2 linked regions of the Lytechinus pictus genome follow. The protein of the gene in region 1 purifies or fractionates together with the protein of each later gene. This does not show direct contact. Links are inferred from orthologs where the notes say so. Each region holds a gene or a part of one and is shown on either strand. Other genes may lie near its edges. The genes, in order: RNA-binding protein 42-like and SERPINE1 mRNA-binding protein 1-like.

Region 1 (15,985 bases):
TCATAAATTTATTATCAGCCTTTTACCAATATTCAACCTCTGATATATCATTTATCTCATTTTACTTTATCTTTGCTTCTAATTGAAAAATAACCCTAATTAGAATTACATAGAAATCCTATGTATAAAGTATGGTGTGTCCCGTACGTCACACATTTGTCCCATACGTCACAAAGCTTAATTAGCTGATATAATTAGATATGAAATTAATTTAGTAAATTCACTATTTTTGGATGTATAGTAATATAAATCAGAACTCTCCAAAGTGTGAAGAAAACTGTTCAACTTTTCTTTAATTAGAATCTAAAGAAAACATATGCTCACTTGTGACGTATGGGACACTGCCTGTTGGACAGCAGATAATTACAATGTACCTTGATTAATTTTCAAAATCACTTTTTTTTCTCAAATGTTTGCATTAACTTAGCACTTCAAGTCTCCACAAAAATATTTGCAAATATATAATTTGCATTATCTGCAGATCAAAAAATGTGATGTCCGGTACGTCATGCTAATTATTAATGATATCTTGGAATTGTGATCTTGGCATTCATGAACTTTACGTTTTCAAAAGAAAAAATAATAGGGCAAAAACTTTAGAGTATAAGCTTTAAAATGACATACAATATGTTAGATTTAGGCAAAGATTTAATTTTAAATTCAGGGGAGGCAATAGCTTGGACATGCCCTGAACAGGTGATTCCAAGTTTGGAGTTAGTGCTGGTGTTGTTGTTGAAAGCAAATTTTTTATTTTCTCCTCTAGTGAGAGCTTACAAACAAGGCATAAGCGATTTTGTGTCTCGCCCACTTATGAAAATAACCAGAAATATTGTGATTTGCGAGGGCACGCAACAGAATTGTATCAAAACTTCATTGTGAAATGACTGGGATGGAATAACAATTGCCATAAGAGTTAATGTTGACCTCAAAGTAAACTTTGACCTTACCATGTGACCTCCAAACACAATAACATGCCGCCCTCATAAGTATACCTACAACCCAAGTTTGGTTTAAAAGTGACATACGGTTGCAGAGTTATGTGTCATAACATTGACCTCAAAATGACCTTTGACCTTATCATGTGACCTCTGATTGCGCCGTGACATGCAGGTCTCCTCCGTACATCTACAACCCAAGGTTGAGTGAAAAGTAACTTACGGTTGCGGAGCTATGTGTCGCAAGAGAGTCGTGCACGTAAACTTTAACGTTGACCTGAAAATGACCTTTGACCTTACCATGTGACCTCCGAACACACTAACATGCAGATCCCCTAAGTACATCAACAACCCAAGTTTGGGTGAAAAGTGACTTTCGGTCGCAGAGTTGTGTGTCATAAGAGTCTTGCATGTAAACTTTAACGTTGACCTGAAAATTACCGTTTACCTTACCATGTGACCTGCAACTAATACTTAACATGCAGGTCTCATAAGTCCATCTACAACCCAAGTTTGAGTGAAAAGTAACTTAAGGTTGCGGAGTTATGTGTCATAATGTTTGTGACGGACGGACGACATTTGGATCCCTAAGTCTCGCCTTCACCTCTGGTGGGAGAGACAAAAATGATTCAAATTGCATTATAGATAGCTCAACACCTAAAGAGTATTTCTAAAATGCCAAATCCTTATTATGTGCTCAAGGCCCTAACAAAAGGGGGAAAAATATACAGAGAGGGAGGAAACAATGGATTAAAGAAAAAACAATCATGATAATAAAAGGAAACTACTTGGAGGCAATTTTCAACAAATGACTTTTTAGAGCAATTTTGAAACAATCGATACTTGAAATTTTACAAATGTAATATGGCAATTAATTCCACAAGGAAGGTCCAGCATGTGCAAACGACCGATCCTCCCATGATTTCTTGGATTTTGGAACGGCAAGCAATTTGGAATCAGAAGATCTTAAACGTCAAGGAGGATTGTATGGCATCAACAAATTTACAATGTACTCTGGGGAATATCCATGGATACAGTGTAAAACTAACAATAATAACTTAAATACAATACGGTACCCGATGGGTAACCAATGCAGTGAGGACAGAACTGGAGTTATGTGAGTAGAGCGTCTGGTAAGGGTAACAATACGGGCTGCAGAATTCTTTAATTTTTGTAAGTGTGAATGTTGGGATTAAGGAAGTTGACATAAAAGTGTATTGCCAAAATCAAGTTGAGATGATATCAGAGCACGTACTATCTTTTCTGTAGAGCAGAGCAGGTTAAATACTTATGAATGAAACCTAAATTTTGCAACTGATACCTGATTGATTTACACACGGCAGGGATCTGGGTAGACATAGACATTGTGAAGTTAAATAAAACTCTAATTCCTGCATGACTTAATGGCATAACATTAACATTACCAATTTGAAGCGTTTTCTAGTACAGCTTTAGAGCCTATAAACGACAACTCAGATTTATATATATTTCTAAATAATTCCAATTCCTCCATTCACTGATATGAACACAAGCATGAAGCTAATGACATCGGTCTGGTTTGATACCTAGTGAGATTTGTACCAGCTACATGTTACGTATGGTGCTGTGATAATATGGAACTAACACTAGCTTCAACACAGGAAGGTTCATCATCATCATCTGCTGTAATCTTCAAAGGGCTCTGCAGCCTATCACGAAGATGAACTGAAACTTGGACGCACGTTATGAGGAGGAGTGAGGAATATTTTCAAGGTGATTTTGCAGAAGCTTTTGAAAGCTGTCAAGCGAGACTGCATTAACTATTTGGAAAGGAAGTTTATTCCATTCAGGTACAGATCGTTGGGCAAAGGCAAATTTGTCAATATTGCCTCTTGGACGATATGTCTGAAAACACTTGTTGTGATTTTTCCTAGTGACAGTGGTGCTTAAGGAGAAGAATTTGTCTTGGGGTATTGCAGCAAGGTCATTTACAATCCTATACACCATGCCGAGTCTGCTTACAGTGCGTCGAGAAGACAGACTAGGCCACTTCAACTTGGTGAGCATGCTGGTTACGCTGCTGGTTCTACTGTAATCAGCTAAGACATAGCGAGCCGCTTGCCTTTGGATTCTTTCCAAAGGTTAACACCGGACTTGGAATCACTCAGCAACTTTCAAACATTATCTTACTAGAAAAGAACAAACCTTCTTTTTTTATAGCTGTCGGTTCATCCTTTGACTCTGTTGACTTTTCTTTCTTCACTTTCTTCTTGGATTTCTTATTCAGAACTGGTTTAGATGCATAGGTTGTAGGCTTGGCAGATAGAGTGACTGGTTTCTGTAAATTAGGTGGAGCTGGGGGCATCATTGCGAAGGGGGGCATCGGTGGGGGAGGGAGGGGACCCATCATGTTAGGTGGAACCATGTTGGGCATTGGTCCCATTGGGCCTCCAGTGTCCATAGGGGGAGGGGGTGGAGGGGGTGGTAAGTGGGGGAAACGAGGGGGGCCTTGTGGTCTCTGGTTTGCCCTAACCTGGTGAGGGACAAATCCATGGTGTTCCCTTGATGGTCTGTTTGGTCTTGACATATTTCCACCTATAACAAATGAAAAACATTCTTGTCATAACTTGCTATAAGATCAAATGTATGTATTACACAATCTAACACAATCTAATGTGTTTTGGCTACCAATAATGAATCAGTATATTTCATTGCTTTTATTTTTTTCATTTTTATAAAGGGTGATGAAAATATCCCAATGAGGCTCTGATTAGTGTAAATGCTGTAGAAAAACAGTGAAAATATTGCCTGACAAGACTAGTACATAAAACAAACACTCCTTTTCACTACTTGATTTTCTGCATTTATTGTTGAATCAAAATAGAAATTCATAATAGGGTTAAACATTTGAATTTCATTTCAAGCAATAATTATAAAAAGAATAGTTGTATGATTCGAGTATTTTCTACAATATTACGGCTGTTACATTATTATGCATTTGTGGTTAATTTCTCCTAATAAACACAATATAAACTGACTATTAATTGAATTCAATTACTTAAACAGATTTGATATTTGTTTGCTTTAAGTTAACATTATGGAATCACTGATGTTTTATTGTAGTTCGGTTGATTTTAAATTACTGATTATATAGTTAATTGATTACTTGACTGATATATTTCACAGCCATTTATATCATAACAAATTGTGATTTATTTACATAATCCACATTGCCTTTAAATACACTTCAAAGCTTTTCTCTTACAACCAGAAATGTATCAAGGTAAATTTGAGAAGCAAAATAATTCCCTGCATGTAATAGCATTTATCACAATATTTGGGTGAATGTAAATCTTTCACGGTGCCCATATTCGGCTATTGTGTGAATTGCATGACTCTCAAAACAGTACGTTTTCACTCACGCTAGCAACAAGAAGGATCTGCTATACAATATAAATTTGTAATGCAGAAGTTGCCATCTCATTCTGTTGATGATATCAGCAGAAAAGAGAAATTATCTTCAAACTTACCAGGCCTGCCCATCTGTCTTGGCTGAAAGCCAGGTGCTCTAGGAATCCTTTCCCTTCCTTGGGTCTGCCTCGGCTGGAATTGAAAACTTGATGCTTTATGTTCTTGACTTTTCACTGCTCCCCCAATAGGTGTTGGGTCCTGTGTTAAACTCATAATCTCCTCCTCAAACCTAGAGAGCAGCAAAAAGAAACTTGGGGTAGGTTAGTTCTGTAGTGGACAAAATATTGTGCACTTTACATACATGTATTATTATTCTCCTATGAATAGCAAATTGGATTTTATTGTATCATTGCTAGTATTTGCCAAGAATATTTTTTCCAGAGGGGTAAATATTTCATTCCTTGCAGGTATTGTCTTTTTGTAGTTGGTTTCCTTATTTTATTCAGAAAATACAGTTTGCTAAATCAGATAATGGATTTGGAACTTTGATTGAGTTAACTTATATTAGTGCAAGGGAGACATAAAAAAATATATTAATGAGAAAATGAAATAATGATTTTATGTGATAATATAAGAAATGAGAAGGGGACAAGATGCGTCATCAGCCCATCTAATCATAACAACGTGCATTTATACATGTGTTTTCACAGAATATTGACTAAACGTTAAAATTAAATTTTCCGCATTTTAAATTTTACTTTTAGATAGATGTAGGCTTGTATAATTATTTTCTACAAGGAGTACCCTTTTAATAGTATCATCGTCACAATCAAACTTTTCCAACATGTCAACAGAAAACACTCATATTTTCTGTCAAAACTTAAAATCTGGTATTGATCAGTTGATACTGATAGCGTTAGTCGTCAGGACAGCCATGCGCAATGCCCACCTCTACCTCGAGCGAAGTTCGTGCAGGCTCCACTCCACTTCACTACCGCTACACTACGCTCCACCTACCCGAACTTCGAGACCATGAACTCGATCGGATATTCCGAGTGACAAAAGGTGGGATTTTATGGGGAGAAAATACAAAATTCATGCAACATCACGATCTTTAAAAACAAGTACAACTAATATTCTTACTTTACACACAGTTTCACTTCTTTTCCATGCTTCTATCAGTCTCAAAATTGATGATTTAGAGCCAACATGAAGTTCCTCACACGTAATAATTCGCTGCCGATTTCAGAACATCGCATGTGCGCGAGGGTCCGAGCTCGGACCAGACCCGGTACCTCCCGCATGCGATGTTTTGAAGTCGGCAGTGCATTAATATTTATACGTGTGAGGAACTTCATGTTGGCTCTAAATCATCAATTTTGAGACTGATAGAAGCATGGAAAAGAATAACCCAGAGAGCTCCGGCCCGCGTAGCGGGCCGGAGCCCAGACGCTCAGTGTGCAATCGGGCATTCAGACGAGAGTTCCGTGAAGTTTGGTCTAAATCATTTTGATAATAAATAATTAAAACAGAAATTAAGCACTTACCACGATTGTATGGATGATAGTCTAACGAGTGGCAGTTTCCTGACATCGAGGCACAGACTGGAACCTCAAAAAACGATAAGTTCTGTCGCGGTAGCTCTCCTCTTTCAGAATTCAACACAAAATGGCCGATCGAGACCGAGGCTAGTATAGCACTAGCGCATATAGACTTTGTCAAATTCGCGCATGCGCCCTACACCCTCTCGAACGGCCATTTTGCTATGAATTCTGAAAGAAGGAGAGCCACCGCGACAGAACTTATCGTTTTTTGAGGTTCCAGTCTGTGCCTCGATGTCAGGAAACTGCCACTCGTTAGACTATCATCCATACAATCGTGGTAAGTGCTTAATTTCTGTTTTAATTATTTATTATCAAAATGATTTAGACCAAACTTCACGGAACTCTCGTCTGAATGCCCGATTGCACACTGAGCGTCTGGGCTCCGGCCCGCTACGCGGGCCGGAGCTCTCTGGGTTAGGAAAAGAAGTGAATCTTTGTGTAAAGTAAGAATATTAGTTGCACTTGTTTTTAAAGATCGTGATGTTGCATGAATTCGGTATTTTCTTCCCATAAAATCCCACCTTTTGTCACTCGGAATATCCGATCGAGTTCATGGTCTCGACTCTCGAAGTTCGGGTAGGTGAAGCGTAGTGTAGCGGTAGTGAAGTGGAGTGGAGCCTGCACGAACTTCGCTCGAGGTAACCATGATCGTGCTACTGTACTGAATTGGACAAGCTGGCATTGGTGCATCGAGCCACGGCCACCATCTATGCATATTAATAGCGAATAATGGAGATGTCACAGAGAACAAGTTCATTGAATGAGTGGGCCTAACTACATACAATACAAGTCACTGACATTTATTTGGAATCTATTCTAACGTTAAATAAAAAGATAGGCCTAAAATAAATGAAAGTAGGCCTAGACTAGTTGCAGTAAACACTGATTTCACGAGAAAGTCTGTAAAAGCAGGCTTAATTGTCATATCATCGAGGATCTAGATCTGGTAGTGGTACAGTTACACAAACTAAACTTTGTGAAATCTTGAATTGAAACCTACGCTGAAAAATGTTCACACTGAAGATCACCAACAGGCAACACAGATAAGCGCACGTGGGACAGTGAATTATTAATTGCTTTGATTTGAATGTCGGCCCGAAGCTTGACCCGAATCCCGTACTTATTTGCTGAGTGATATCTCAGCAATTACACAATTTCTTCCAGAATCCTTTGCCTTTGGCACATATTTTTTATTCATACAAACAGACACTTTGGTGGTCATTTCATTGAATTCTGTACAAACTCATTTTGAAATCGTTAGTCGTTACCATTTTTACACAACTGGCATTTAAGATTTATCTTTAAAAAAAAAAAAAAGTAAATTCACGAAAAAACTCTACCTCTACAAATCAAAATGGAACTTCATATCATATACCGGTATGCCTGGAGGATTTTAATCACCAATTTGTCAAAGATATCATAACAAACCTGCTCATTTCTTCCTCAATGGACTTCATCTTGCCTCCGCCGTTGGACGACATGTTGTCAAAAGAGGATAATTACCGGTATGAGGTGAATTTCAGCGGTGGTGGTGGCGCGGAAAAAAATGTGCAACTCGTACGTCACTCTCAGTGACGGTTCTCCAATGAATATTCATTAGATCGTGGTCGTGCGCGTGAACAGTATAGGGGAAGGCGCAAGTTGTGACGGGGTTGTGACCCCGGGGGGGGGGGGCCACTTACATTGACGAGTGGATACCATGCGCAACCAAAAAAACACGTAAAAAGGATGTCTATTTCAAGATAGGGCACGTTACGTACGTAACGTGATAAGGGTGTCAAAAACACAAAAATATTGAAAAAAGGGTATCTATTTCGCCCGGAAAAATATACGTGTTTAGGGTCAAATATGCGGGGATGATGAAACAAAATCAAAATGTTTTATAAAGGATGTCCTTTTTGCCCCACGTGTTTAGAGTCCGATTTGCGCGAGGTGTGGAAGGCGGGGCCGTACTAAACCAAAATAATGGTGTCTAAAGGTAAAACCGACGACCGACGGACGCGTGTCATAACAATGAAATATCTCTGTACTTGTTTAGGGGTTCATTTCAGGGAATACTTGCTAAGAGTATCGTTTTGTTTCCAATACTTGTTAAGGGGTGCATTTTCAGAATATGGAAAATACATCGCTGTACTTGTTTAGGGGCTCAGTTCTGGGAATACTTGCCAATAGTATTTGTTTCCAATACTTGTTAAGGGTAGGGTTTCACACGCCAATACTTGTAAAGGGGTGCATTTTCAGAATATGGAAAATACGTGTTTAGGGTGCTTTTCAAGACCCCGTGGTCGCGCATGGTATCCACTCGTAAAAGGAAGTGCCCCCCCCCAGGGTCGTAACACTTCTTGCATTTTGCTTTTTAGAATTGATATGACAAATAGTATGGTAGAAATAAGTGGCCAGCCTTTAGATTTGACTCTTGGGAAATATTTTTCACCTATATATATATAACTTTCTACCCCCACACTGAAAGGCATTGTGACCTTTGAAAAAAACAATGTCAAATGGCTCAACTTGCCCCATCTGTGCATGGGGTAAATTGTGCCACCTTCTACGGTAAGTTGAGCCCCAAAAACTATGTACAAATTGTATGCAGGAAGAACCAGCATGTAAATTTTTTATTTAAAGTCTTTTAACTTGCTAATTCTCTATGAATACTAACATCCTCTAAAAGTAAAAGAACTGTCATGTGAATTTGCTCCTTTCTGCCTGCATATCAATGCAGTGGCGTACCGTGGGTCACGGCATTGGGGGGCACCAGCAAAAATTTAGAGTCACTATAAGTGAGCGCGCGAAGCGCGCCCAGTTGCCAGGTATACCTGATAGAGACATTTTAAGGACAGTGCCATTAAACGGATATGTCTCTCACTGGTCAAATAATGCGAGCGGGAAGCGCGAGCTTAAAATTTTTGATATTCAGACCTAAAAAGGGACATTATAATCAATCTTTTGTAATCATGATACGTACCTGTCTCGCTAATGCGAGTGCGAAGCGCGAGCTGAAATTTTTGTAAATATTGACCCCCAAACAAGAAGATTTTAAGGACTATATTTTAGGAATCCATTGAGAGTATACACATCTCACCATAGTCATCTAATGCGAGTGCCAATAAGCGCTTACTGATTATGTTAGAATTACATCTAAACATGCACATAAAGCACTTCTAATCATGATTAACATACCCATCTCACTAATCAAATCTTGCGAGCGCGAAGCGCGAGCTGAAAATTTAGGAAATTCAGACCTGAAAAGGGACATTTTAAGGTTTTTTTGTAGAAATTCACGAAGACCATACGTAGTTCACTAACCAAATGATGCGAGCGCGAAGCGTGAGCTGAAAATTTTTGATATTCAGATTAGAAAGAGGGACATTTAAGGACTGATTCTAGGAATTAATGGAGAGCAGACATATTTCAGCAATCCACTACTGCAAACGTAAGCAAGGACAGAAAATGTTTAAATCAAGACCTTAAAATGGGGCAATCACTTTAAGTAGTCATGAAAAAGAAGCATACTATTGTACATAAAACAAAATAACTCGAAGTGCGAGGAAATATATTTGGCAGTTTGGTGTATATTGACTTGAAAACGGGAGGTTTTAGTATAACAGGATTATATATCTCGGTAAACAGACAATGCCAACGGCAGGAACAATGAAGACATAGGCCCTGAGCAAGTTATGTTTCATAAAGTTATGAAAAAAAATGTTTCTTATGTAATATAACATAACATAATTATGATATAATATAACAGTGTAATGAATAATAATGTCTTCTTTCCCACTACGTTTCTCTTCCTTTCTCCCTCTTTTTCTCCTTTTCCCCGTTTTTTTTTTTTTTTTTTTTTGTCAGCCGATTGGGGGGGGGGGCACGTGCCCCCCATGCCCCGTAGTTACGCCACTGTATCAATGGCTTTTTAAGGTTTTTTTTTTTTCATTATACATTACCATAAGAATTACTATGGCTCAAATTGCCCCATGTAGGCTGGCTCAAATTACCCCAGTCCGAGCTTAATGCGACATTTCTTATGCAGCCGTCATGTAAAAGACTACGACAAGAATGAGAATCAATACCTGGACTAACAATATTGTTCTTATTTCTTAATTATATTTTAAGACGTGTGCGGGTAAAAACACACTTATCTATTTCAAACCCTTTTTTACTTTTTTGGCTGAAATTTGAATTTTTCCTCTAAAAAATTACTTTTTGTTTCAAAGTTGAAAACAATGTGGTGGGGTTAAGGGTTATGTAATGGGTCATCAATACACGTCACCACCACAATGTCTGACTCATTCATTATTGGCCTGGGGGTGGTGGCTCAACTTGCCCCTATGCTCAATTTACCCCGCCTTCCCCTACTGAGTGTGCATGTGCGCTATGAGGGAGGCAGGCGCGGAGTCAGGAGGGCGGTGGGGCGGTCACCCCCCCCCCTCCCAAGAAAAAAGAAGGGAAAGGGAGAAAAAGAAAGAAAGGTATAGCTTTGTTGTTTTTTCCCTTCTTTTTGGAGGTCCGACAAGAATAAAAACCTAGACGAGACGTTCTTCTCTCTTCATACAAAATTTTGCTCCCGCGCTCCGCGTGGGAAAACTATAAAAATTGCCATTCCCTTTTGTTTCCCACACCTTTTTTCTATTCCGTTTTACCCTTCCCGGCTGTATATATACCGTATATTCTTGCCATAAGTTATAAAGTATACATAGTTTAATTCTTACATTGGAAAAGTTTAATTTCAGCAATTTTTTTATTGAGGCAGTTAAAACTTTATATGCATCTCGCCATGCCTATGTTTTGAACAATGGTTTTCTAACTGAACGTGTCCCTATGCATGGAACGAGGTATTTTTCAAGGTTGTCCGATTTCTCCATATTTGTTTTTACTTGTGATAGAGATAATGGCAATATCAGTCCGACAAAACAATGCTATTAGAGGTATCCCACTTGAAAATGAAGATGTTAAAATATCTCTTTTTGCTGATGATTCGGTATGTTTTTTAAATGGTTCTGATAATTCTTTTTTTTTGAGCTTTTTGAAACCTTGCAGAAATTTGGAAATTTGGAAATTCTGGTTGCAAAATTAATTTCAGCAAAACTGAAGCAATGTGGATAGGTTCTAAGAAGGGTGATCAACACTTCCCTTACATAAACCGTAGTGTTTCTTGGAAGGCTTCAAAATTTAAATGTTTAGGGGTAGTTTTATATCTCAATGTTGTACAAATTTATGAGTCAAATTATAAAGAGAAACTAAAAAGAATGGAGCAAACTTTAAACTGCTTGCGAACTAGAAATCTTTCTCTAATTGGTAGAATCTGTGTTGTCAAAACTCTTATTTTGCCACAGTTAATCTATTTTTTCTGTTCTTTCTGTTAAATTACCCAAAGCCTTTAAAAAAAAAAAAATTATTTTTTAAATTTATTTGGAATGGAGGCAAGGATAGAGTTCAACGTAAGATAATGTGTAATGATTATACTCAGGCTGGACATAGAATGATTGACCCTTTTTCTTTTGCATGTGCTCAAAAAATGGTCTGGGTAAAACTCCTATTGGATGAGAATTTTGATGCTCCATGGAAAAAGATTGAAGTAGCCTTTCTAAAAAAATATAATCATGATATTCAAATTTTGTGGAAATCTCATGCTCCTGAGAGCATTTTAAACAGTCTTGGTAATATACAATTAGCTGAAGCATTGAGAATACATGTGGTATTCATTTAGGGAGGAAGCTGCTATCGAATTTTATGGTAACAAATTTTCAGATTTGAGTGGTTGTCAACTCTTGTGGTATAACAAATTAATTCGTTCAAAATCTAAACTATGAGTATCTTAATTATCCAATGTGGCAGGAGAGAAATGTCTTAATGATGTCAGACTTATTTAATCCTCCTCTTTTAGGTCTTCTATATGCTTTTCACACTGCATTTCATTAACCCCATACTATCCTTAACCCCGGACTATCCTTAACCCCATACTATCTTTTTTTCGATTCACACTGTCTTTCTTAACTCCATACTATCTGCTCAACCGTGGTTAATGCCCTATCCGTGGACTATCCCTCAGCTCATGAATATTGATGATTTTACCATACAGAGCGTGATTAATGTGCAATTCGACTTCTGTGATTGGCTAATGCTTAGCCCCACTTTCCTTACCCCTGTTTCGTTTTCACACTGCATCTCTTAGCACCGGCGCAATTTAGGTCTTTGAAGAGCTTGTGTTAGATTTTGGAATCCCCCAAACAGACAGAAGGAAATATAATTTTTTAATTAAATGCATCCCGGAAGAATGGTTGGTGAGTTTTGACCCTGATATTATTGGTGTTCATGAAACAATTGTACATAAATTGTTGAGTTATAAAAAAAGTCCCTAGAAATTCATACATTTTATTTAGGGGATCACATACACCTGACAAAAGATACTCTTATTGGGATGAACGTTTACCAATACCAGTATCTATCGATTGGGAAAAGGTACACTACACAATTTTTTTTTGTACCATTGATACTAAATTAAGATCATTCTATTTTAAGATTTTTCATAAAGCCATAGCATTAAATGATTTTTTGTATAAGATTAAATCTAATGATTCACCCAATTGTGTTTCTGTGATAAAAGTGAGGAAACAATAGTCCACCTGATTTGCGAATGTGAAAGGGTAAATTTGGCAATCCCTTTTAACGAAAATTTCCCAAAATAATGTTCAAATAAATGGTTCTAATTTTGAAAAAAATGTTCGGACTCTCAACTGATAAGTTCATTTCATACCTTTTCTTACTTTTGACGTATTATATTCATACATGTAAATTTAAGAATAATCCTCCAAGTTTTGCTCTTTTTAAAACATTTGTTAAAAAACAACAGGACTTGGAATATTTTATAGCTAAGAAAAAAAATAAGTTGCCCACACACTTTAAGAAGTGGCGATTCACCTTATAATTTGGTTTTCAAAAATGTCAGCAGGTTACATGATAATTAAACACTGTATATTTTGTATAACAGGCTTAGTGCCCCTTTAAAAAAAAATAATACTGCACTGTATTGGTTATATGGTTGTAGACATCAGATCCCATTTTTTCATGCAACTTGTATCTCAGTCTCCTTGATATACTTGTTCGTTTAAAAACCTCCATAATTATGTCGTCTTGGATTACCAGTTGTGTTTTTTAATCCCATGAATAGTTGTTTGGAAACCACTTCATAATCATAGCTTGTATATTTTGTTTTGTCTACTTTATTTACCAAATCACCTATCTTTGTTTAGATAACACTGATATTAAGTCATCACTTTGCCACATTTCTTTTTTGGGGGGTGGGGGAGGATAAGTGGATAGTTTTTTTTTTATTATTATGGTTGTTATTTCGTCTTTTTTTGTGTAACTAACTTGTGTTTATGTAATTTGCAATCACCTAATAATCATTTGTAAATGTTGTGATTTATTTCAATTTGTTAAATAAAAACAGAATTAAAAAAAAGTATACATAGTTTAGTTAGTTTAGTTTACTCCAACGATGTTGTAAAGGAGTAAGCCTGTTCATCGATCAAAGTAGAATGTCTATTGCTGCTCTCCTTCAGACAAAATTAGATGCGCCATTTATGTTGACAGGGAGGGGTGGCAGGGGTATCGTAGACAGCAAAAATTCCATGAAAAACACACAATCGAAAATCATCTTCTCCCAATGCTTATCTAGTCTATTCTTCAATGCAATCACTGAACAAGCAGTAACTACATCTTCTGTGAGACTGTTAATTCCACATGCACACATCTATCACTCGGTTAGCAAAAAAAAAAACTTACGTACATCAAGACGTGAATATCTTTTCTCTAGCTTTAAAGGGATGATCCGGGCTGAAAAAAATATTGCTAAACTTTAAACTTCAATAACTTTATTATTTGTTATCCGATTTTGATGAAACTTTCGGCATTTTGCTCAGTGAATTCTACTCTATGTATTAAGATATAAATATTTTCAGCCCGGACCATCCCTTTTAATACTTTGTATCAATTTAGTAGCTCTACGTTGGACACTCTCTAACCGCATCTGGTCACCGTATAAGCTGGGTAGCTTATACGGTGACCACGCAGCCTGGCCATACTCTAAGATTGGGCGAATAATAAGGCTTAATTGAGGTCTTATCCAAATGTACAAAAGTTCTTCTTATAATACCAAGCAGTCTATTAGACTTTGACACCACTTTACATGGGTGTTAAGATTAAGAGTATGAAATTTTTTTTTCATATTGCATTGACACAAAATTTGGGCTCTTCTGTTCGGAGTGGGTAAACATTACCATTACTCCCCGAATCCCCAGCAAATGCTATTTTCTTCCGCTTTTCAGCAAGTAATTTTTGGCAAAGTATCCGCTCAAAGGGGGGGGGGGCATTAAATTCGTGCCATGCTATGTGCAAAAGTATAAAAGTTTATTCTATATCGCTGCACATCCATCTCCTGTCTCGTTTTGCGCTATTGGTTTGACATTTTGATTATCACTGAAGTTTCTTAAACAAAAGGAAGCGCTTAATATGAGAGAAATTACGCAATTTTCTTTTCTTCCAAAATAAGCATATACAGGAATTAAGGAAAAGTTCCTCTTTTAGCTCGCACCAACCCTTTCACATTTTGAGCTCGTTTTTCTTCTTAATCGAGTAATACATAATCTAAGAAATTTAGAAAATTTGAACAGGTTAAAGTTTCAGAGAAATTTCTAAAATTGCAGAGCTTCAATGCTGGGCGTTGTGGCGTGCGCCTGTAATCCAAGCTATGTAGGGAAGTTACAAATTGATGCAGAGGTTCGAGGTTCGTCTTTCGGATGGTGACGTTAAAGGTCGGTCCCAGACATAAATAATCATATCTGATTGATACACGTCTGACAAAACTCAAATACACACACACACCATAGGCGGATCCAGCTTTTGGCGAAAGGGGGGCGCACTGCCGAGCGGCGCACATATTTTTGCACTTCACCGGCGCCATAAAAGAAAATGTTGAAAAAGGGGTAAAGTCTGACCCTGTCAAATGCTCTTTTAAAAATGTAGGATTTCCAGTCATGCCATTTTGCATGACCACACGCAGTTAATAATTCAAGACTCGAAAATTTGGTGCACATCTCACATTTGCACATTTTTCATAGCTTTCATGAAATGTTAAGGAAAAAAAAATTGTTTTTCACAACAGCAGATCGCGAATGTGCCCCCCCCCCCCCTCCTTCCCCCTTGCTGCATACGACCATTCCCTGAAGTCCACTTAAACATATCTCATTATAACAGAAATATACATCAATTTAAACATATAATCTTTCTAAACATATATAGAGAAAGATTGAAAAACTTATTAAAGAAAGAAACAAGCAAAAGTAACAAAAATTATGCATGTTATGTGCGATTTCAAAATATCGTGTACTAACCCTTTTATTGCGATGAGGCCAATACTTTTGTATATTAATAGAGATACAAGTTTTTTTTACTATATGTATATATATACACTGGGGCGTCGATCCTTTTTTTAAGATTTGGGGGGGCAAAATCATGAATCAACTTTCCAAAGGCGCTCGATATCACACAAAACAAACAAACTCACACAAAAACACACACTTATGCATATATATATATTTATATGACTCATGAGATAGAAAACATATCTCACCAACAAATTAATGCGAGCGCGAAGCGCGAGCTGAAATTTTTTAGTATACTGACCTGAAAACAGGAAAAAGGTGCCTGTTTAGGACTGTTTGTAGTAACTCATGAGGAGGATACATATCTCACTACACAGATAATGCGAATGCCGAGGGCGAGCTGAAATTTCTTTATATTCTGACCAGAAAGCTTGATATTCTATGCATTTTTGGTACCAATGATTAAGATGGGTATCTAAAAAAACAATAGATGCGAGCGCGAAGCGCGAGCTTAAAATTTTGATATTTCGATCTGAAAAAAAATGACAGTTTAATGGACGTTTGTAATAAAGAACAAGATTATATCCAGCAAAAGATTATTGCAAATCGAAGCGGGAGTTCTTTTGACGTTTAGTCCTGAAAAAGGGACATTCTATTCATCTATTTAATCATG
Region 2 (15,346 bases), on another chromosome or scaffold:
ATTCCACCCCCTCTACATTTTTCACGATTGATCCGCCGTGCGAAATTTTTCAACTGCGCCTCTTGCTGACTTTTTACTTTCAAATCTCGCACAACTTTTGAGACCAAATTTGCGATGCCCGGGTACGCGTTTAAGAAATTACGCAACATTATGTAAGTGCATGTCAGACCTAAACTGCTCAAAAACGGTTATTTATGCAGGGCTCCACACTAACCTTTTTTCCTACTGGTCCAACCTGTCCATGTCGGACCAGTAGATACCCGGTGTTTCAATTTTTTACTGGTCCGAACCTAAAATTTACTGGTCCCCCCCAAAAATAAAGAAAAACATAACATTAAAAAATTGAGAATATTTTGCTTTCTTTTATTGCTTTTATTCCCCCCCCCCCCAAAAAAAAAAAATCATAAAACCAAACAGTACACAAAACATAATTCATGAGAGCCATTTTTTAAGATGCCAGAGACATTTATATGATTTACAAAAGAGATACAAATATAATTTGTATCAATTTGATATATTTTTTACTGGTCATGTCGGACCAGTAATTCTGGCTATATCTGAACAATTACTGGCCCAACAGCAATTTTTACTGGTCTGGGACCGGTGCCAATGTCGCGCATTGATTTATGTACAAATCCAATGCAAATTGTGTATTTAGCCAAAATTCATAAATGCATTCTACTTTTACTGATTAAACTTCATTAATTTTGTCTTGTTTATGATCAGAATTAAGTCTGCAACAATTTCCATCGAAAAAAAACAAAGTAAAAAAACAAAGAAATACATAAGAAAAAAAAAAAAAATACAATTAAAAATTGCAATACCAAATTTTTTTTTAGATACATTTGATCAGGATCCTACAAAGAGTCTCTAAATAAAAAAATAGCAGTTTTTTGGCCGTATGATACTTGATTAGAGCAAATGTTTTATTTCATGCATAAATTAGCATAATTAATTCATTAAATGAAAAATCTTACTATTTAAAAAAAAATAACCTTGTAGATTTTATTGCACACTACCACTGCAAATTTTTGCGGCGAAGGGCAAGAGGGGTTCAAATAACCCGGCTCTTTTAGGGTTAAAACAAGCAATGTAAACTGATTTGCTTCAGTTAAAATTGATCTATCAATTGTAAGATTGCAACAGAATATTTGCAAATGATTGTAAATAGTTTCTTGCAACATCCCCTAAGTCTAATTCTCATCGAGAAATCCTCAACTCACCAGTCGATCTAATTTCCACTTTATTTAATATAATTAGCAATGATCCAGGTCCTACTACTTCACAAATCACAATCCACTCACCACATCTGCAAATTTGAGATTTGCCATCACAGTATTCCATTTCTTTCAAACTTCTGTTACTCTGTCTTTCTTGTACTTCTGTTTTCACACTAATAATTTTAGTACCAAGACTGAATTCCCCTTAAAGTTAAGTGATAGACTTCTTTGGTCCAGAGATTGGACCTAAGCACAAAGTTGTCTTTTAAAATATCAACTGCACCATTACATTATTACAATGAAAACTTTACAGATCAAATCAGTTTTATATATATCCATATTTTATTCTCTATATCATACATTCAATGTATGTACATTTATGTTACTATTTACAGTTTCCTTTCCCTCGCATAGTGGATACAAGACAGGCAGAATATACCAAGGGCCCATTTCATAAATACTTGCAACTATTGTAACTTTGTCATTATTATATCTACCATGGAAACCTTAATTGTGATTGACTACTGAGCCATGTTACCATGGTAGTTACCATACCTGCAAGTCTCTTTGAAATAGGCCCCTGGCCTGGCATTGGTAAATGCAGTATATACACGCAGCCATTTTGTTATAAAAAAATATCAAGACACATTCCTCAACTCCCCCCCCCCCCCCCAAAAAAAAAAGGGGGTAAATGGAGGATTTCACTTTTTTTTAGCGTAGGCATTTGTTTTGATGTTGGGAGTGGTGCAGATTTTTACATCGACAATAGCAAATTGTCCTGCGATAAATCTCACTGGGATTTTACCTAACATAAATGTAATTTAGATCTTTTGAGGGTGTTGGAGCTAGGGAAAAAATGAAATCATCCACTGTCTTCAAAATGATTACCAAAATAATTCTTAAAATTTGAATATAGAAACATACAGATATTAGATATTTCTGTAAAAGAAAACATTATTTTGCATTTGATCCATTTTCAAAACTTAATTCTTTAAACTCTTTCCCAACCCTGATTCTTATTTAAATATATCAACTGACAAAATAAGCTATCACATAGAGATGCTTCTAATGTTCCACTTACTAACACCATTTCAGAGTTGGCATGAATGTGTATGTTCAAATTACAGGTTTAAAAATGATGTTCTATGAAAACTTAACGTGGATTGATCTTGTTCGAACTGCAAAATGACTGATTTCTTAAAAAATTCTTGTTAAAAATGAGCGATGAAAGTTTTTGTTTATGATAGAAATAAAACGGTCCTTCAGGAATCCCTTGCTTTTGACCTGGCAATGTAAAGACATACATTAAATAAATATTTACAGAGTTACACTCAGTAAAAAAAATGAAGACAAAACAAACATCACAACCTACAAACACCAAGTACAAAATTACAATAAAATATACTATTTGATGCCTAAAAAAACACTATAAAAGATTAACTTTAAAATTAGAACATAACTTTAAAATTAGAACATACCTGTAAGATGCATTCGCTCTTGCATATTCCACAAGTACATTTGGCTGTACAGCGTCCATTTTGACCCACATGCCCCTACACGACCCCACCCCCTAAATTAATTTACCTTTCTTTTAAATTAAAAAAATCATTAATATGCAGCTCGTAAATGTACTACTGAACTAATGCAAAAGTCACGATCCAGAAAAAAAGACACTGAAGTTTGAAATTAAACATATATATTGTTCAGCTTTGAGAAGCATTAAAATATAAGATTAATAATACAGCCTTTTATGTTGTAAGAGTACTTCAATTATCTTAATGAGGAATGTGACCCACGCCTAATCTTAATGATACACAGAAATTATGTGTTTTTATGACATACCATGTGATGTTTTCACATGCTTACATTCAACAGATGTCAGCAAAATATTGATATACATCTCTAGCATCAATTGTGAAGAGAATAAATTACAAAGTAGTTCATCAAACAAAAGTCTGAATACATCTTCATGTATATACACCATGTATGTAGCATCTAGATATTCTCAAAGACCAAAAGCAGTGATAAATATTGAAAACCTTGCTTAACCAGCTTTACATACATTTATATGAGCACATTTGTTATACCCACAAGACAAACTAGCATACCCTCAGTAAGATACAATCATCTATCCGCTATATTAAAATACAATTTTAATAAAATAGAAAATGTACTATCACATCCATGAAATATCCTGTTCTTGCCTAACCATGTTCTCTTTTCCTTAATATAAATATGCACAGCAAACATACCTATAATACTCTGAAAGTGAAAGATTTGGTTGTAAACTTCTGATCATGGCAGAAATTCCCATTCAACAACTCGCCAGAGCAAAAATGCCCACATGACATTTACAACCCCCCCCCCCCCCCCCCCCGGCCTTCAAATTAAGCCCAAAATCGGATGTACAATGAGAAAGTTATGACATTTTAAAGTTTCGCTTATTTTTCACAAAACAGTGATATGCACAATTCAGTGACATGCAAATGAGACACAACCGATGATGTCCTTCACTCACTGTTTCTTTTGTTTTTTATTGTTTTTGTTTGAATCATAATATTTCTTTTTTTTTTACAGATTTGATTATAAGGACCAACTTGACTGAAACAAAGTATCAAACAATGCAAGTTCCACATGTTCATGGATCAATTAATTGTTGTTTCACTTGACAATGAGAAAATTAGAATATTTCATATAATAAAATACAAAAGAAACAGTGAGTGGATGATGTCATCAGTCTCCTCATTGGCATACTGACCTGACCAGGATTAGCACATAACTGTTTTGTGAAATGAAGCAAAACTTTAAGGTGTCATAACTTTATTTTACATCCGATTTTGATGAATTTTTAGGTGTTGTGCTTGTTTGGTTCTTCTCTTTTTATTCAAATCCATTTTTTATTGGGGTGGACTTGTCCTTTGAGTTAACACAAACTCTACCCCCCTCCCCCAACACACACTACCATCCACAGGGATTTGTCATCTTAAGAACAGGGTAGTTGGTAGATAGATACAGTTGTAACTTGTACCAATTGAGGAAAATGGAAATACTTGCCCTCTTAAACATTCTCAGCACTGCCATAATTCCTATGTATTTTACAATTTAAATTTATGCATGATTATAGTGCAAAAAGGTCTTTCATGTTCCATAGCGATGGGGAAATTTAAAAAATTAAATAAACTAATAACAAAAACATGCTTGTAAAAACTGTTACAATGAAGTATTCATCTTGGTCATGCTCAGTCTTTAAAATGAAAGTTTGTTTTGATGGGAAGGAGTTTGGTCTCAACATCATCTACTTGAAAACTTCCATGCAGACATCAAGTCATCTCCTCAAAGGCTGTAAAACCACATGTCACAGCCAGAAATATAAAAATATCACATCAAATGTTCCTTTTTGAGCTAGAAATCATTCTAAAGTATCAATCTAGTTTTCAGAGATCGACTGTGAGTTTCCAAATGTATTTTGTGCGAGCTCAATTAGGGCCATAGCCCCTAATAATTTGTCCTTATGCTCTTGTTGTTGTTCTCGTATGAGCTGCCTCACCATCGGTCTCCGTCCACGCTTTGGTGTTGTCTCCTCGCCCGCGTCACTAGATTCTACGCTCTCGGTCCTGAGCCTCTTACGAGTGTTTGTATCCCTGGGTCGTCTGGATGTAGGTGTTCTCATGAGTGGGCTTGATGAACTGTAAAGAGTGGCTTCTACTTGTCTCTTTTGATACCTACACAAAAAAACAAAAAGATTCAAAATGTTGTTTTAAATAAAATACATGAATGCAAGATACATTAAGACTTTGGGAAGCATTTCATGAAAAGTTTATCGTCAGTGATTTCCAGAAGCTTATTTTGTTTCATGAAATGCTCCCCTTTACATCAAGGCTTCCTTTGTAGACAATAAAACAGTCTCTATGAGCAAGTTGCATGAATGATACATGCTTAAGTAGGTATAACTCAATTACAACTAGTCAGCATTCAGAATAAAGTGGTGGTTCTTTTGTACAAGTGGATGGTATACAGGAAGTCTCACTACAAATTAATGTCATAAACTTTCAAAACCAGAACAAAAATAGCACCCAGAATGGCAAATACGCATATAACAAAATGACCTGCATGAATATCATACGGATCCATAATAAAGGTAATTTGGAAATGAAAGCAAAAAACAGGTCCTATACTAAAGTAAATATATATATATATATTAAATTCACCAGAATGTGGAGCAATAGGATATGAAATGACAATACTGATAGCTAAAGACTGTTTAAATTCTAAAGGTATCAATAATATTTTGGGGGTCTCTGAAACAAATGAATGACCAATAGTGCTGATGTTAGGTGTGGGCACCTGTTATTTTCTATTGGTGGAAAACCACTCTGCTTGCAGAAATAATATCACAGGATCTACTTTCATGAAGTACAACTACGTATTTCTCCCATTACAGGCCTTAAATCTAAAGTGTCCTCAGGGCAAGACCAGACTTTCTGAAGGGAATGCTCCAATGTCATAGCACAAATTAAAGAGATTTGAATGGCAACAAAAATCTCTGGCCAATTAGGGGATCTTGACCTTTGAGGTTAATCAAAAGGACATCTGCAACCATGGCCTTAGAATGACATTGCACAGCAAAATCTAGTTTTTTAATTTGGCCTGGGAGAAGTGTATGCCCCTGTTTAATAGACTGACTTCATATTACTTGAAGTGTCAGACAGAATTGCTAAGTGGTGGAAGGAGTCAACAAATACAAATTGACCAAGGGTTTTTTTTTTTTTTTTTTTGCTAATCATTTCAGATAAAGAGATAAACCACAAGGCTACTGTTGCCAATGAAAGTGTTACGGAGTGACCCTGAGCAACAGCTTTTTAGAGACGTTAAAGTTCTCTTCTCTAACTTACCTCTGTAACCATTCGGCAACTTCTTCACTGTTCTCATCGGTCCTGACGACTTCTTCCACCTGTACTTGGGTTGTCTCTCGACGAAGGCCGGCATATGGATGCTCCGGACAATGTCTGTTTGCATGTGTGAATCTGGATTGACAACCTGGCAACAACAAAAAACATTTAAAGGCACTTAGCAATTATGTCCAGGATTCTAAATATTGGGTACGCTAAACCTCAATTATTTTCTTTTTAAAATGAATTACATTTTGTCTGAAATTTTCAGTTTTAGGCATACTGCACCTTTTAGTTTTTCATAAACAAATTTTGCTACTTCAGCAATTTAAATTCATCCCTTTTAAAAAATATATTTGAATTACAGTACACATGTGTATGTACATCAAAACCTCTTATATTCAAATGTTAGAAACTTGTATACCAGTGGAGATATTTTGCAATTAAGTATTATTGCAAAACTTGTGGAGAAATAAGTAGAAGCACAAAAAAATACATTATTTGATGGAATAATGTTCTATTTTTCCATCATTATTAATTTACAAATCTTCTTTCCTTGCTTAAGTCATACAAATCCCCATTTTGAAGATGTTACAAACTGGAATATAACCAAATCCAATCTGAAAAAGTTAGATTCAGTATAATTTGGAATTTGAATCAATCCTGCTGGTAAGTACCTCCTTTTTTTTTTGCTTTTCTAGGAATTCAAGAAACCTGAATGGATCAAACATGGATCGAGGATTTTTTCTTCATTTTAACTACATATTTCCGGGCAGCTCTTGGCTAATTCTAACTTTTCTCTGTGGCAATACTGGGGGGTGTTTAATAAAGCCGTTTGTAAAATAAGAGCAACTTTAAGAACGACTGGTGAACCTATCTTACGCACTAAACCATCGCCAGTGAACATTTTGGTGTATACTATTTACCACAAGAAAGGATCACCAGTCGTTCTTAAAGTTGCTCTTGACTTATGAACAGCTTTAAGGAACACCCACTGGGTCAAGCAAGACTAACCTGGAACTGAGCAAGCGAAAGGTTTCTCTCCTGTATGTAATCTCTGATGGGTCTTCAACTGACCGCTCTGAACAAAAGCTCGGTTGCAGTTTGGATAGTCACACTTATATGGACGTTCTCCTGTTTTCCAGAAGATAAAAACAAAGAATGTGTAAGTTAAAATTTGTTAAAGGACAAGTCCACCCCAACAAAAAGTTGATTTGAACAAGTAGAGAACAATCCAAGAAGCATAACACTGAAAATTTCATCAAAATCAGATGTAAAATAGGAAAGTTATGACATTTTAAAGTTTTGGTAAATTTCACAAAACAGTTATAGGCACATCCTGGTTGGTATGCAAATGAGGGGACTGATGACGTCACTCACTATTTCTTTTGTATTCTATTATATGATATATAAAATATTTTAATTTTCTCCTCATTGGAAGGTGAAACAAGTTTTCTTCCTCCATGTATACATGGGGAATTACAATTGTTCTAACATTTTATGGTTCAGTAAAGCTGGTCATTATTGTCAAATCTGTAAAAATGGAAATATTGTATAATTCAAACAAAAGAAATAGTGAGTGAGGGACATCATCGACTCTCTCATTTGTGTGTTGCCGAGTTGTGCATATAACTGTTTTGTGAAAAATAAGCATACATGTAACTTTAAAATGTCATAACTTTCTTACTTTACATCCGATTTTGATGAAATTTTCAACGTTATTCTTGTTTGATTTTTCTCCATTGATTAAAATCAACATTTTTCTGGGGTGGACTTGACCTTTAAATAATAATTTTTATCTATAAATTGTTCTTCAAAACAACATTTTGTAACATCGCTTATCGAAGGTACATAATGACGAAGCGGTTCAAGGGTCAAGCCTTAAGCCTATTATATTTGCGTTGTTTACAAATGGATCGAGGGATCTACACGAGATCGGTCTGGTATGTAACCTCTCGTTTTTAACCTTTTTATTAACATATTTTTGCACCTTCATACGCATATGATTAGGCGTATGAAGGTGTATAGATAAATAAAATGATACAAATTTACGTTATTTCTATCTTCAATTTTCAAAGATGGATTTTCTAGGGAAATCCATCTTTGTTTACATGTCCTCTTATATGCCTATGGAAGGGGTTTCAAGGCTTCGTGATGAAGAAGTATATGTCAAAATATTTAAAAATATCATCACGAAGTCCTCAAGGCTAGCCCCTGCCCCAGTTAGCAAAATAGACTTTCGTCTTTCGTCAAGGACAAGGTCTTATTTTTTTTATACTGACGGCCTAAACTTGAACTTAGTCATGTCATGATATAGCTCACGAATAGACTTCTTTTCAAAGAGATAAATCTTGTCTCTTTCTTTCTTGTTTTCTTCCTCCATTATCATATAATTTCATAAGAAAAAAAAGGTTAACTTATAATTATGACTATGTAACTAGGTCAGCTCAGCAGTTTTCACCCAAAAAAATACATGATCTTTCACACAAATCAAAATGTTTAGCATAGCCTACACTACGTTATTCTCTAACTGTAAATACAAGTAATAAATGTCTGACTGAGAAAATGAGAACTGATGACAAAATTGACATCTGAATCTGATGTCCAAATTTTTATTATAATTTAGCCAAACCAAAGCGAGCCCTATCATTTATGATGATTCTTTGACACTCTCTTTCAATTAATTACCTGTATGCGTTCGAAGGTGTGCTGTTAATGACTTTTCTCGGGGAAAGATCCGATCGCAAATAATACACTGAATGACATCTCGACGGATTTCACTGCTCCCTGCCTTCTGCAACTCTGCCACCGTCTCTGCCCTCGGTCTCCCCCTACTTGACCCTCGTTCGACGGGCGGGGAGCCACCGCAAGAACTGCTGCTGGCAGATGGGCTGAGCTCGACGTTCCCTGCACTCTCCGACCATTTCCAGGGATAAAAGTAGCAGATTCCAGGACTCACAGGACTTAAAGGCGTCAACGATAATTTTGGTGGTCGAACTGGTGATCGAATTTCAGTGTTAGGCATGATCTTATACGGCGAATTCTTCAAAACGTTAGCCATTTTCAGCTGTCTGTCGTCCCGTTCTCTTCTTGATCTCGCGCGTTTACAACAAACCGATCTCGAATTTGGCGCTACAAAATGCTCCGGTGCAAGGTGTTATGGGAGTTTTTTTCAAGCGGGCTCTTTAAAGGATAGCCTCAAACTAACAACTTAATTTTGTTTGCAAAGAGATAACTCGTTTGCTCCCCCTTTTCTCTTTTTATACATTGAAAGAATTGAATTATTCACTCATTTTTCATATAATGAAAAACTTATATAGTTTTTTTCGTTCATCTCATGTTGTAAAAAAGCATATTTTTGTCAGCTTTTTAAGTCGATCCCTGATAAAGTAAGATTTAGACAAAACCTGAACTTCCATATATGGTAATTGGTGTTATCAGCTGTCTTGTCGGTACTACAAGCAATATTTGTTTTTGCCTGGATTATTTACCTTGATTACTGTGTAAGATATTGATCTTATCTTAGACGAAAATGATAAAAAGTTTAAATTTGCAGGACATTTTTCTTGCAGTCTCGCTTGATATGATTATGATTCCCGATTTTCATAAAACCGGGCGAATCTAAAAGTAAAGGGGGGTATTTCGGTGTATATAATGGTCGCTAGAAATGAATTATTCATATTTTGGACATGTATATTTAATGTATGATTTTTTTACAACTTAATGAGGATTTTCTTTCACCTCAGGTTTATACCTCATTATTATCAGAAGGGATCTGAATCAGATAAACGTATTTGAACCCCGGGATTTGAACCCCTTTTAAATGTTTTGTCCAAGAGAGCGAGAGCGCGCGAACATGCATGATATGCTACTGTACTAACTCGTACCATATATGCATGACGTACGTAATCTAGCGCAGGCTGGAAGCTCGAAGTACGGATCCTTCCAGCGCAGCATGCCTGCCGCCGAGCCCTCGCTCTCGTTCGATGTAAACATTGCATAGCTATTTTTCCGCGCGTGCTTCCTATTCACTTTGTGTACAGTTTTATCGCCATTTTTAATGACGGGGGTTTCATTGAGAGAACGCATTTTATAGCGTTAAATATCTTTCTAATCCTTCATAGAACGAAGGATTTTATCACAATGGAGGTTACTTACACTATAGGAGTAAGTAACCGTTTCCTTTTGGACATGGATACGGTGTCCGATCCACAGGATATCTTTGCTGAAAAGGAACAACGAATGAAGGAGAAGAAGGAGAAAAGCAGCAAACCCAAACAGCCAAAGCCTGCGAAGAAACCAGAACCAGCCAAAAAGGCCCCAGAACCTGAGCAAAAATCGAGGAAAGAAGGTATGAAAGCTTCCTTTTTTCTTAGAAATGAAATGTATGATTTATGATGTGTCTAAGGTAGTATTTTGTTACCTCCCCCATTCAATATGTAGGTTTTAAAACATCTTGTAAAATTATGTTCGTGGGGCCTAAAAATAAATTTTCTCCATGCTCCGTGCACCACCACCCTAACCCGGCATGCTTTTCATACATGTTCATGCCGCACGTGATGTACGGACTACGGGATATTGCAGTCATTGACATTGACATTGCGTTTACTATTTAGCAATTGAATATAAAGGTCTAACTTTAGACTCCAGGGTATTGTGGAAAGAAGTACTGTTAAGTAAGGGTTGATTTTGAAATTAAAAAAATTTGTTTGGTAATAAATGAGGGGCATGAAGCCATGATTTTTATGAATGAATTTAATTTCCAATTCCACATGGAAAAGAAAAATGGATGCCAACTTCAGTCCGACTGTCGGTTCAGCTAATTTGACCAGGCCCAGGCAGCAGGGACTACAGCTGGCAGCCATTTGTTTCAAGGAGTTTGTTTTTACATGTATTCCTCCTCGTACACGGACAGCTCGCGATCGTGCAGCGCCATTAGGGGTTAATGCAAAATCCCCCGACGGGGCTCATCGGTTTTTGTCTTTATTTCATCAAAATATAGGCCCGAATTCACAAAGGTGGTTTTGAAAACCAATGGTTGAATCCATGGTTCATGCAGATTTAAATTACGCTTAATTTCGCACGTATCAGGCGTGTGTTTAAAAAATGTCCAATGCTGATGCGCGCTTTTGTCACAGTGTGCCAAATTGACGCCTGTTACCATGGTTAGATACGCTATTTTATTCATGAGTCCACTGTTTGAAGAGTGGACTCATGAATAAAATAGCGTGGATAACCACGGCAACAGACCACAAAGAAGAATTGTACAGGAAACCCGCGCATGCGCGATACGCTCGTTCGATCGCCAGCGTAGTGCGTGACGTCATGTTTCATTCACAAATCTTGAGCTGTGATCTCATTGGGTGTTTTGGCTCTCATTTGCATATTTTCCCATAATACAAAACCTATGTAGTGCGAGAAGTTTCTCTGCGAACCACCGATCAACCTCATACTAAACACGACGTATTTCCTTCAAGATTTCGAGTTGAAAATCTCATTTTCTTCATACGGTGTAGCTACATTACCTCGGAAAATCTGATGATATTTTGCGGACTTCTCGTCATTTGGTAAGTCATATTTTTGAAGATATTTACCGTCGAGAAGTGAAAATCGCACGACTGTGTTCGTTGTTTACTGTGTGTCAATGTGTGCAAAGTGTATGTGAGCGACATGTATTGGTACAGAGCGACATACGGAAAACCGTCTACACCGAGGTTTATTTTGTGAACTGTTTTGCGGTGGTGTTTGTGCTTAGTCCGCAATGGTGTATATAAAGCATGGCGTACGTTGTGTTGTGATCGGGCTTCGCTCGGTTGTTCGTGCATGGTTCGTGAATGGCTGTGGAATGTGTGTGAGCTCGGCCATGCGGCCTTGGGGCGTGTATGTAATGAATGGCAGCTGCACCTGTTGTTGTGTATGGCTCTGAAATTGAAGCTCTGCTTGTATTAATGGAATGGCGAATATCATACTCGTAGTATTTTAGGAATATAAGTTTGGGCATTTTATTTGTTGGGACTTTCGTGATACTGATTTTACTTTTAAAACTGGACACTGATTTTTTTTTTTCGGTAAAGCCAGGGACAATCAATGGAATTGTTGAGACATGATAATATCATAGAGCTATAGCTCTATGATAATATCAATAATTATAGACCCTACAGAAATACAGGAAATTAAATTGAAAAATAATGCAAATTATAATCACTGAAGTGCGGATGTGTACCAAATTGATATGGATGGAGATTGATTTTGATTTTGTTTCCTTCAGTATTTTTTTTTTGCAAAAATCAAATATTTTCCTGCCCTGTTCTTTTTCTTATCAATTTTTTTTATCTTTGAATTACCAATTATGACAGCAATAAATCAAACTCAAAAGTTCAAACTATGGTCTATTTTCATTGTATAATCTACAGCATAATCCGAAGATGACTGACACTGATTGAAAGACTGTATTTCACAAGACCCAAAGGACAAAGGTCGAGAGCTACAAGTTCACATCGCATTTTACAACTGCTCAAGAAGGTGAAGGATTTGGGGATCACTAAATCAAGACGACGATATTCGGATATAAAAACAATTTTATTTTTATATGAGATAATCTTTCAACTTTATTTTTACTTAAAATTGAAGAAGTGAATAATCTTTACAAATTATGAATATGATGCTGAGAAGGATCGAAAACCATTCTGTCAACAATGATGCACTGTAAAAATGCTATTATGTATATATGGTCATAATGTTCTTGTGATTTATTTGTAATTAATTTATGTATTATGTTGTTTCACTGTTGAAAATAATTCAAACAATGTTTAATATGTGAATTGCATAGTAGTTTAAACATTTTAAACAAGTGTTTAAGAACTTTATAAACAACAAAGTTTAAACTCTAATATTTAATCATCAATAAATAAAGCATGGTTGTTTAAGATTTTGAACACTTGTTTAAACTGTTTAAACTACTATGGGATTCACACAGTAAACAGCATTGTTTGAATTATTCTTAACATATAAATATAAATTATATATATATATATATATATATATGCTCAATAAATTCTTATGCATTAAATTTGCCTTCAATAAGAGTTTCCAGTTCAGTATGAATTATACAAAAAACATGGAATTCTGGAATGACATTCACTTTCACGGAATACATGTAAAACACTGTTCATGAAAAGTATAATGAAAATCATCAAAAATAAATTAAAGCCAAACTGTAAAGAGTAAGCCAACCCCTATATCATGATTTCTTTTAATAAAGATTTAACAATTTGCAACTGCATCAACTTTATTATTTTTATATGTCACTATAATACCCCAGTCACATTTCCCCTACGGCGGCCGTACGGCAAGTCGAAAACAGCAGTTTAACATTATTTTGTACCAGTGTACATATACATGGTTTGAATAAAAATGAATAAAACGGCCGTTTTCGACTCGCCGTACGACCGCCGTAGAGCAAATGTGACTACTATACTAAGGACGTCAACATTTAAAGAACATCTTTTAATGGAAAACTGGAAAGGATTGATATAAAGTCCAACGAAGTTACTTAAAGCCAGATTTATTCACATATTGATCAATAAATTTACCCCATACTTTCTACATCTTTTGAAATTGTGATTTAATTTTCTGAATGCGTGTTTTGGTTCTGTCAACCATTGTTTTTCATGTCTATGACAGACTCGTACCTCGGTCACATTTGCCGCACGGCGAGTCGAAAACAGCATTTTTATTCATTTTTATACATGGATAAACCACCAATATGAAGCTGGTACAAAAACAATATTAAAACGACTGTTTTCGACTCGCCGTATGGCCGCCGTAGAGCAAAATAATGTGACCGAGGTATAAGGACATAGCCCCTCGGTCCGTGAAATCCCAAGATTAATTGTTCCGAGGCTTCCAAATAATTAATAATTCATTAGACGGGGTCCCAAACTTCTCTTTATAAATTGAATGTTTTTCAATTTCGGATAAAATTAATATAACTTTCATACTTAATAGCTTTCTGTTAAAGTTTATAATTCGTATCCAATTATTTCGTTTTTAATATGAATTATAAGTATTTTCATTTGTTTCAGGGGCGGATCCAGGATTTTTTTTAAGGGTTTCAACCAAAAATAATTAAGGGGATTTGGTCTTCACTTTCTAAAGGGGGGGGGGGGGCACGCTTCTGTTTTAACACCATTTTTAAATTCCAAATTTTACTTGTGCCTCTCAATGGTGGGGGGGGGGCGCGCACGTGCCGGCTGTGCCCCCCCCGGATCCGCCAGTGATTTTTATTGTTCTTTCATTTGTTCACCCATGATCACGAATGTTTTCATAATGCATACATGTACCTCACGATTTTTTTTTAAATACGATTCTAAATGTTATGAAAATAGTTCGACAGGCCTAATTTTTTTGCATACCACACTCATGGAGCTACTGTTGCTACTCTGCATCAGCGTGTAGTGTGCGAGAGGGGGGGGGGGGTAGGATGGTCGCAAAGAGCGATCGAGCAAAAGAGAAAGTGGTCCATAAATGAAGAGGGGATGTTGAGAATTGAGATCATGTGTGTGTGTTTGGGGGGGGGGTGTTCGAAGCGAATGTTGTCACTGCTGATTACGATGATGGTTGATTAATCTTTACATCTTAATTTGGGCGATTTTGGAAATGTTTTCTTGTACTGGGGAGAGGTGAGTGATTCAGTAAGTTTCCATAGAAGTGCAGTTTTAAAGTTACAGAAGAGGATTTCACCCAATGACGGGAATTCGGGAAACACCATTTTCAAGCAATACTAATTCGATCACGTGCCATCGGCTTTAGGGCCGAGTGTTCTCGTTCACATTCCAACTTTCATTTCATAAATAGGCACTCTTACAAATTAGGCCGATGCCGTTGTAAAGATAACTATTTTTGAAGCGTTATTCAGATATAAAATATATAAAGACAATTGAAATTGAACAATTCATCAAAATTTCCAACGATATTCAAATAAAAATAGTATCAACTCGTGTAGAGATAGGGGTGAACAGACGAAATACATGCTCCTAAACGTTCAGACAAATCAATTAACTTGATATCTATATCTTTCGATGAATTGTTCAATTCCATCAGAAATATGCTTCATGAAGTCTTGTCAGATTGTTGAATGTGAACTTCTATTGGAATCTGTTGAATCACGTACCCCTCCCGATCCAAGGTATAGATTTCCCAATCACCATAGATAACATACGGTTACATATATGGTAT

The links.
Region 2: the proteins of RNA-binding protein 42-like (region 1) and SERPINE1 mRNA-binding protein 1-like purify together in Homo sapiens (affinity purification with mass spectrometry; 3 studies listed by BioGRID and IntAct, with this or other methods). This does not show direct contact. The link is inferred for Lytechinus pictus from reciprocal best matches to the Homo sapiens genes RBM42 and SERBP1.

Annotation. Positions count from the first base shown.
Region 1 is NC_087252.1:34,936,482-34,952,466, reverse strand, and holds the start of RNA-binding protein 42-like, read right to left. Parts: upstream 7,498-15,985; 5' UTR 7,411-7,497; coding exon 7,358-7,410; exon of another isoform or gene 7,270-7,357; intron 4,615-7,269; coding exon 4,445-4,614; intron 3,510-4,444; coding exon 3,120-3,509; intron 1-3,119. UniProt on the Homo sapiens protein: Binds (via the RRM domain) to the 3'-untranslated region (UTR) of CDKN1A mRNA.
Region 2 is NC_087255.1:23,540,561-23,555,906, reverse strand, and holds the start of SERPINE1 mRNA-binding protein 1-like, read left to right. Parts: upstream 1-9,170; 5' UTR 9,171-10,252; coding exon 10,253-10,460; intron 10,461-15,346. Other genes in the region: zinc finger protein 367-like, read right to left, coding at 4,648-4,942, 6,113-6,257, 7,124-7,243, 8,798-9,170. UniProt on the Homo sapiens protein: Ribosome-binding protein that promotes ribosome hibernation, a process during which ribosomes are stabilized in an inactive state and preserved from proteasomal degradation.